Cricetulus griseus: one gene and its partner. The protein of the gene in region 1 interacts with the protein of each later gene in a pairwise test. Links are inferred from orthologs where the notes say so. Each region holds a gene or a part of one and is shown in the gene's direction. Other genes may lie near its edges.

Region 1 (4,453 bases):
AACTGGTCTTTCTGTTCCATAAACATCTTCAGTTTGTTCCCACTAACTTTTTATGCTGGCTTTTCCTCCTATCTAGAACGCACTCCCCTCCAGTTCCTGGTATGGCTCACTGTTCACCCACACAATTAGCAAGGCTCTTCCTGACGGTATTCTCTAGAGAAACTTCCCTGTTCTCTACCAGATACCTTTTCCTTCACATGAGCACAAGAGACCTTAGCTTTCCCCTTTGTTTCTGCCTCTTCACTACAGGGAGATCTTAGTCTTCTCCACTGTTATCGCTGACATGCTCTGACTAGTACCTAGCACACAGTAGGTACTCAGTAACCATCCTCTGTCAGCCTCACCCTTCAGGTCAGGTGCCAATGGCTTTCTTTTCACTTTCCCTTCTTAGCATATTTTTTATTAATTGACTTGCCTTTTTTTCCCCAACACCCCCTGACCTATTTAAAAAATAATAAAAGCCTGTATGTGGAGTACTGTGTATAAAAACTTAACATAGGAAAGCTTATTATGAAATACAAATAAAGGTCAATTAATAATCCATGAAAGATGATTCTTTGTTCTATTGGTTTCAAGCACTATATAATCAAGCCAGTGGTCATGAATTCATGACAAGTTTGGTCCTTCTTCGCAAATTTCAAGTGGTCAAACCATTCTAGAGGGACCTCAGGCTACGAAACTTACCTGGTGCAGAGACTCAAAGAGCCTCTTTGTCCATCATCAGCCGAGTATATACGCACCGCAAGTCTGAAGCCCTTCTGTGCTGGCTTCGAGTTAAATAGTACACTGGGTCAACAGCAGGGTGGTCTAAGGTGATGCAATCTCAATACATGTTGGCAGCACCCAGAAACCACAGCCTGTTTCTTACATTGATTTACAGGCTGTTTCCATGAAACCAAAGATGCTTGGCTCTCCTGGAAGCTGGCTGGCTGGCAAATGGAAACACTTCAGTGCTGGCTAAGGGCCATGGCCACTTCATCGGGTCATTTTGGCACTCTGGCGAGCTGTTTGCTTGTCCCTCCTGGCTGGGCTCTCTACACGGTGCACAGTCGTCTCCACCCGCAGGGATGACGACGCCCTGACGTGGCTGGAGGACGTCTCCGTGCACTGCGAGGAGGTTTCCACGTGCTGGGAGGATACCTCGAGGAATCTAGGGAGTCGCTTCGCGGAGGAGGTCAGGGAGGGTCCCTCTCGGTGGCGCTGAGAGGTCTCCACCTGACGAGAAGACGTTCGAACCTGCCGGGAGGACGTCTCCACGCGGTGGGATGACGTTTCCTCGCGGTGGGACGACGTCTCCACGCGGATAGTCGACGTTTCCTTTTGGCGGGTGCTTTCCACTCGCGGGGCGAAGGATTTACTCCTAAGGGGCGAGGCCATCCTGCTGGCACACCCAGGTCAGAAGGGACACAGAGGCCCAAGACTCATGCTCTGTGTCACGTCACACAAGGGACGGTGACGTCAGGGTGATGAGCTACGTCAGTGTAGGCTGCTGCGGGCCACATAGGATCTGCGAGCAACGAGCTCTTCCAGCACGCGCCGCTAGATAATTGCTCAGGCTGCCGGCCCAGACCACACAGATAGGCGGGGCCTCTCTCCTCAGAAGGAGGCTGTCTCCGCCCTCGCGTCCCACATGCCCCGCGACCGGAAATAAGAGCCGTGGCTTCCGGATCCTCCCTCACCATTTGAAGCCGCGGTTGGGTCGGGCTGGTTGTGTTCGCGTCTCTCTCCTCTCTGGTTATGGCCGCGGCCGTCGCTATGGAGACAGGTTCGTGGTGTCGTGCTCCTGGAGTCTTCACCGAGGGAACGGGTCCTCCCCCCTTCTCTCCGGTTTCCCCGCGCCGTCTTTCGGGCTTAACCCGGCATCCTTAAGGAGTTGGGATCGGTGGGGGAGAAGGCGGTGTTGTCTCTGATTGTGGCCTGTGTGAACGACATCTTTGCTCCTGGGCTGCTCACACCTCCACTCCCTGGCTCGCGGGCCGGGGTGGGACTGAGGGAGAGGACCGAGCCCTTCAATTGTCTGCTCTATGGAGCTTTTCCCGTGAACTTGCTTGAAATGTTTGTAACGTGTATGGTTCTGATACGGATTACCGTCTCCTCCCCGCTGTTTAATCATTTTGCATCTTGCTTCCTGCTTTTATTTAGCACTTTGTTTTTGTTTAACTTAATCACTGTTAGTAGTTGTGGTTGTAACGCTAACATTGGGGGTGGCACAGCTATTACAGACCAACCAGTGATCTCTGTTACCATCCTCCCATAGTGGCCTTAAATAGCCGTTTCGTTTATTTTTCTCAACTAACTTTAGGTAATTTATTATCTTTGTTTTGTTTTGAAGACAGGGTCTCACTATGTACTACTGCCTAGCCTGGAACTGGCTATGTATACCAGGCTGGCCTGGAATTCACAGAGATCCTCCTGCCTCCCCCTTACAAGAACTGGGATTAAAGGCATGCACCACTCGGCTTGTTTTGTTTTAAACCAGGCTCCACTCTGAGATTTCTAAGGAAATCTCTCCTGCAGTTTGGTATTTGTTTCATAAATTCATTCCTATGGGGGTGGGCGGTGCATGCCGAGGTCAGAGGACAACTTGCAGGAGTCTACTGTTCCTGCAACCCTGCGGGTTCCAGGGATGGAGCTCAGGTCATCAGACTTTTCTGTGAGCACCTTTACATGCTGAGCAGTCTCACTGGCAGTTTGTTTTTGTTTCTACAAATCATTGGTATCGTGACTTTTATTTTGGGTGTCTTTTACTTTTTTCTCCTAGATGATGCTGGAAATCGACTTCGGTTTCAGTTGGAGTTGGAATTTGTGCAATGTTTAGCCAACCCAAATTACCTTAATTGTAAGTCGAGTACATCATTAAGTTGAGTAGCTAGCTGTTAATGATTTCTGACAGAAGAGATGGAATTCATAATAGTATTTACTTCGGTATGTTTGAATGGGATTTTACTTTCGATGGTCTGTAGTTATTAACTGAGCAAACAAGGACTTGTGTTTTTTAATTCCTTGTGTTTTGATGGTAGGAATGTTAAAAGAGCTACTTTATTGTAGCGATTACAAGTCAGTAGTCCAGCAGTTGGTTGACATACAGATTGTTTCTTTATGCCTTTCAGTTCTTGCCCAAAGAGGTTACTTCAAAGACAAAGCTTTTGTAAATTATCTTAAGTACTTGCTTTACTGGAAAGAACCAGAATATGCCAAGTATCTAAAGTAAGTTTAATTTTTATAATCTTAAATCTGTGTATACTTTATTATAAATACGAAGTGCTTATATTTAGCAGTTTTCTCGGTGTCAGAATGGCAAACTATGTTTTGAATTTTTCTGCTTTTAGTTCATGTCATGTCATTGTCATTTCTAATTTGAATTGTTACAGTAATCTCACTTATTTCTGCTGTCATTCTTACCTCACTCCCTTCAAACCAAACAAAGCCAAACAGTTGTCTGTCAAAACCAATTTACTGTCTTAGTAGTATAAATCAGAACATGCCACTTCTATTCATGTAGGATAAAATCCAGTAACTAGTTTTAGAGTAAGACTCTGATTTGATTTGGTCTGTCTGAACTTGTCATTTAGCATTCCCCTTGTCTCTCTGGGTTTCTAATGCCTTCCAACCTATAAACTACTAAAATGTAGTGGTATAGCCATAAGCTGAAAATGAACATATAAGAAGTGGTGTTTTCTGGGAGTCTTAGACTTACTGTCTTCTTTATAGTTTCCTATGTGTCAAGTACTGTGCTAAATGTATCGTGCACATTAACTCACTGTAAACAAAAGAAAGACAAACATGAACACTGTCAAGTTGTTTGATAGACAATTGTGAGAAACATCACAACTACACAGCTATCCCTTTGAATGGTAAAACAAAACCTTGAACTCACCCCTCTGCTTTGTCTTAATTAAAAAAGAAAAACAAGCTGGTACACACCTTTAATCCCAGCATTTGAGAGGTAGAGGTGGAGGTGGATAGATCTCTGAGTTCAAGGCCAGCCTGGTGTACAAAGCTACTTCCAGGACAGCTAGGGCTACACAGGTAAACCCTGTCTTGAACTCCCCCTCCCCTAAAAGGGTGGACAACAACAACAACAACAAACCCAGAAATTTTAGCCTGATGCCCCTTTAATCCCTGCTCTCAGGAAGATCCGGCAGATCCCGGTGAGTTTTAGGCCAGCTTAGTTATGTAGCAAGTTTCAGGCCAGTCAAGGCTACATAGACCCTATCTTAAAAATTAGAGGGAAACATTTCAAGCCTTTTCTTTATATCCTAGTCACTTTTCTGAATTGATCCTGGACTGCCTGTAGAACAGATTGCACCGGATTTGCTCTTTATGATGCAATTATTGATTCCTTTAGGAATCTGAAGGAGAGACTTTTAAGTTATTAGGCTGTTATAACAGTGCTAGCAGATTTACAGACTGGGTATTAAAAGCCTTAGTCACCTTCAATTCAAGTTCAGTC
Region 2 (3,654 bases), on another chromosome or scaffold:
CGAATTCTCCCCAGTATAGCCAGGTGAGGTGAATTTTGGTCACTGGCATCCCTGAGACTCCCACCACAGCCCTGGTTCCCTAACTCCACCCTCCTTTGTCCCCCTCTTATGACAATGGAAGCTCTTCACTGTAGGGGGTGCTGAGCGGAAACCCTGCCCTGTGCTGAGATGCCCAGCCAAAAATGAGTCTATAGAGGTATGGCCTGGGCAAGCAGCACTTCCTGCCCCTCTCCACCCTAGGTCATCCATAGGCTGCCCATGCCCTACCTGAAGGATGAGCTGCATCACTCGGGATGGAACACTTGCAGCAGCTGCTTTGGGGACAGCACCAAGTCGCGCAACAAGCTCATGCTACCCAGTCTCGTGTCCTCCCGCCTCTATGTGGTGGACGTGGGCTCTGATCCTCGAGCCCCGAAGTTGCACAAGGCAAGTCCTCTGTCCTTGTGGCTGGAGAGCCTCACACATGCTGGCCCCACTGCCCCTAGACCAGCTACCTCCAGCTCTCACACAGGGTCTGGCTCAGCAGCAGGGAGGGAGGGCAGACTTCAGAAGTTACCTTGGTCTGCTGGGCTGGCAGCATCCAGAAGCATGGGCTGGGTGCCAGAAGAAGTGGCTTTTTCTTGAGGGGCAGGAGAGCCAGGTTTCCCCACACAGTTAGGAAATCATGTCTTCCCCCAGGCAGCAGCTCCAGGCCTTCCTCTCAACTCCATTGGACACGCTCCCTGTGCACCAGATGCTCACAGCTGGCTGCTGAGGGTGCAGAGCCAACACTAGCATGGGAGGGGCCCCAGGAGCTGGGAGTGCCTTCAGGAAAGATGGGGGGAGTCCTCTGACTGAGGACTTATTGGTGGCTTCTCTGCCCTTCTCTTGCTGCTCCCCGAGTTACCAGACTGAATCCGTGCTGTCTTCTCTCCAAGAGAGGAAAAGAAGAAAGTTCCACAGATAAAACAGAAGAATGGGAGAAGGGAGTCTAGCGAGACCCCCAGCTCTGTAAAGTCTGACCCTACTCCTCACCTTTTCCAGGTCATTGAACCCAGTGAATTCCACACCAAGTGCAACCTGGGCAATCTGCACACCAGCCACTGCCTGGCCAGTGGAGAAGTGATGATCAGTGCCTTGGGCGATGCCCAGGGTAATGCCAAAGGTACCTGCTGGCACTGAGGACCCCCAAAACCTCAGCAGATAAGAAGTGTGAGAAACATCTGTCTGTGTGGGGAGCAATGGAGTGAGGAACCAGGGAGAACTGGGTGGCTCAGTCCTGTCCACCAGTATCTTAAATGTCAGCAAGTGACATCAGTTGGGCCTGGTGGTACAGGCTATAATTTCAGATACTCTCTAGGCTGTGGCAGAAAGATAACAAGTACAAGGCCTGCCTGGGAAACTTAGCAAGACCTTGTCTGAAAATAAAAATAAAAGGCTAGATATATACCCTAGTAATACAGTACTTGCCTGCTATCAGTGAAGTCCCAGGTTCAACTCCCAGTACAAGAACACATACACATACTTCACTCACAACACTCACAACACACAGACACACAAGATGACCTGGGACTGCTGAGTTTGCTAGAAGGCATAGTCAGGAGTCGGCTATAAAGATATGAACACGCACGTGAACCCAGGAAGAAAGAACATAATGTAATTCCAGCACCCTTGGCTTGGCTTTGTGCGTGTTGTGTGTGTGTGTGTGTGTGTGTGTGTGTGTGTGTGTGTGTGTTGTGTGTGTGTGTGTGTGTGAGTGTGTGTGTGTGTGTGTGTGTGTGTGTGTTTAAGTTTTTAAGAAAAATTTAGCTGAGCACAGTGATGGACACCTTGAATTATAGTACTTGGGAGGCAGAGGCAGGAGGATATCTGCAGGAGGCCAGCCTGGTTTACAGAGTGAGATCTTGAGCTACATAGATTCTGTCTCAAGAAAGACAGAAAAGGGAGGGGAGAAAGTAGGAGGAGAGGAAGGAAGGAGGGAGGGAGGGAGAAAAGGTATTGAGTACACAGCCAGGTATTGGTGGTGCACGCCTTTAAGCCCGACACTTGGGAGACAGAGGCAGGCCAGGTCTATCAAGCAAATTCCAGGACATCCAGGACTATTACACAGAGAAACCCTGTCTCAAAAAACAAAACAAAAAATGTATTGAGTACAGAAATGGCAGGTGGCTTACATGACTGGAGCTCCACTTGTAGCTGTCCAATAAAGCTTGGACTTTGAGTTAGAATCCCATGGTGGTTGTGGCAGCCTGGGCAAATGTTTATGGGGCTGAGTCCCAGAGCTCTCTGTTTAGGGGGAGCACATTTTCCCCAGAGCTCTAAACCAAAGATTACGTTTCTAGGAGGGAGAGCACAGAGTGAGGCCCTACCTCACCCCTGCTATCTCTGAAATGGGTGTTTGGGCATCTGAGCCTAAGGATCCGACCAGCTGGGTGAGAAAGACAGCCATGGCTCACGGCTTTTACCTAAGCCTCTTTCTTCCCTCTTTCTCAGGCGGTTTTGTGCTGCTGGATGGGGAGACCTTCGAGGTGAAAGGGACATGGGAGAAGCCTGGGGGTGCTGCTCCTATGGGCTATGACTTCTGGTACCAACCACGACACAATGTCATGATCAGCACTGAGTGGGCAGCTCCTAATGTCTTCAAAGACGGCTTTAACCCTGCTCACGTGGAGGCCGGTGAGAATCACCTTTGGGTTGGCAGGAGTCTTGGGCCACATCCCCTCCTTTTCAGTCCTCTGACCTACACCAGATCTGCAGGCCCTACTGGTAAAAGGCTAAGACATGCCTGGTGATCAGAGGGCTCAGACCTGTTCAGGAGTCCTCTGTGCCCATTCCTAACTCTCCATCCTAGTCAGTGCCCTGCCTCCGCCCATGCCCCCCCACCCAACCCGAGCCCAGCCTCTGGTGCCTACCCCCTCCCACCTCAGGGCTGTACGGGAGCCACTTGCATGTGTGGGACTGGCAACGTCATGAAATCATCCAGACCCTACAAATGAAGGATGGGCTCATCCCCCTGGAGGTCCGCTTCCTCCATGACCCAGCTGCCACCCAGGGCTTCGTAGGCTGCGCTCTCAGCTCCAACATCCAGCGCTTCTACAAGAATGAGGTAACTCCATGACTCCCCCTCACCCCTGCTCCTAGAAGAGTCTCATGAGGACATCCTCCTGGCTTCAGTGTCCACATGTGATGGTCTCACCAGCCTAAGGCTTCTTCAGGAAGAAATGCTGCTGCACAGCCTACCTGTCTCTTCGCTGTGCCAGGCTAATTTCCACCTTGCCCAAGTCTGTTCTCTGTTGCTGTAACTGAGCAACTGAGCATCACAAGCAGGACAGTTATAGGGAATAGAGGTTTAGTTAGCTCATGGGTCTGACATTACGCCATCCAGGTTGAGGAGTGGCATCTGGTGAAAGGCTTTCTTGTGGTTGGGAACTCTGCCTCCAGGGACATCACAGGGTGAGCCATGTGCAAACAAACTGGCTTTATAAACGACTCATTTTCAAGATAACCACAAATGCTCTACGTGAGCCCATCCTCCGTGAGCTCTGACTTAATTACTCTAAGGTCCCACCTAGTCCCCAGGTGGTGACATAAGTGTTTAATCCCAGCACTTGGGAGACAAAGGCAGGCGATGTCTTTGAAGTAGAGGCCTGCCTGGTCTATGTAGCAAGTTCCAGG

What was found. The genes of interacting proteins can lie anywhere in the genome.
Region 2: the proteins of Med31 (region 1) and Selenbp1 interact in a two-hybrid assay, tested with the Homo sapiens proteins (2 studies listed by BioGRID and IntAct). The link is inferred for Cricetulus griseus from reciprocal best matches to the Homo sapiens genes MED31 and SELENBP1.

Annotation. Positions count from the first base shown.
Region 1 is NC_048600.1:86,054,475-86,058,927, reverse strand, and holds the start of Med31 (mediator of RNA polymerase II transcription subunit 31), read left to right. Parts: upstream 1-1,595; 5' UTR 1,596-1,737; coding exon 1,738-1,765; intron 1,766-2,761; coding exon 2,762-2,839; intron 2,840-3,110; coding exon 3,111-3,207; intron 3,208-4,453. Other genes in the region: uncharacterized protein C17orf100 homolog, read right to left, coding at 976-1,377. UniProt on the Homo sapiens protein: Component of the Mediator complex, a coactivator involved in the regulated transcription of nearly all RNA polymerase II-dependent genes.
Region 2 is NW_023276806.1:61,568,340-61,571,993, reverse strand, and holds part of Selenbp1 (methanethiol oxidase), read left to right. Parts: coding exon 1-23; intron 24-240; coding exon 241-426; intron 427-1,023; coding exon 1,024-1,144; intron 1,145-2,472; coding exon 2,473-2,655; intron 2,656-2,906; coding exon 2,907-3,085; intron 3,086-3,654. UniProt on the Homo sapiens protein: Catalyzes the oxidation of methanethiol, an organosulfur compound known to be produced in substantial amounts by gut bacteria. Selenium-binding protein which may be involved in the sensing of reactive xenobiotics in the cytoplasm.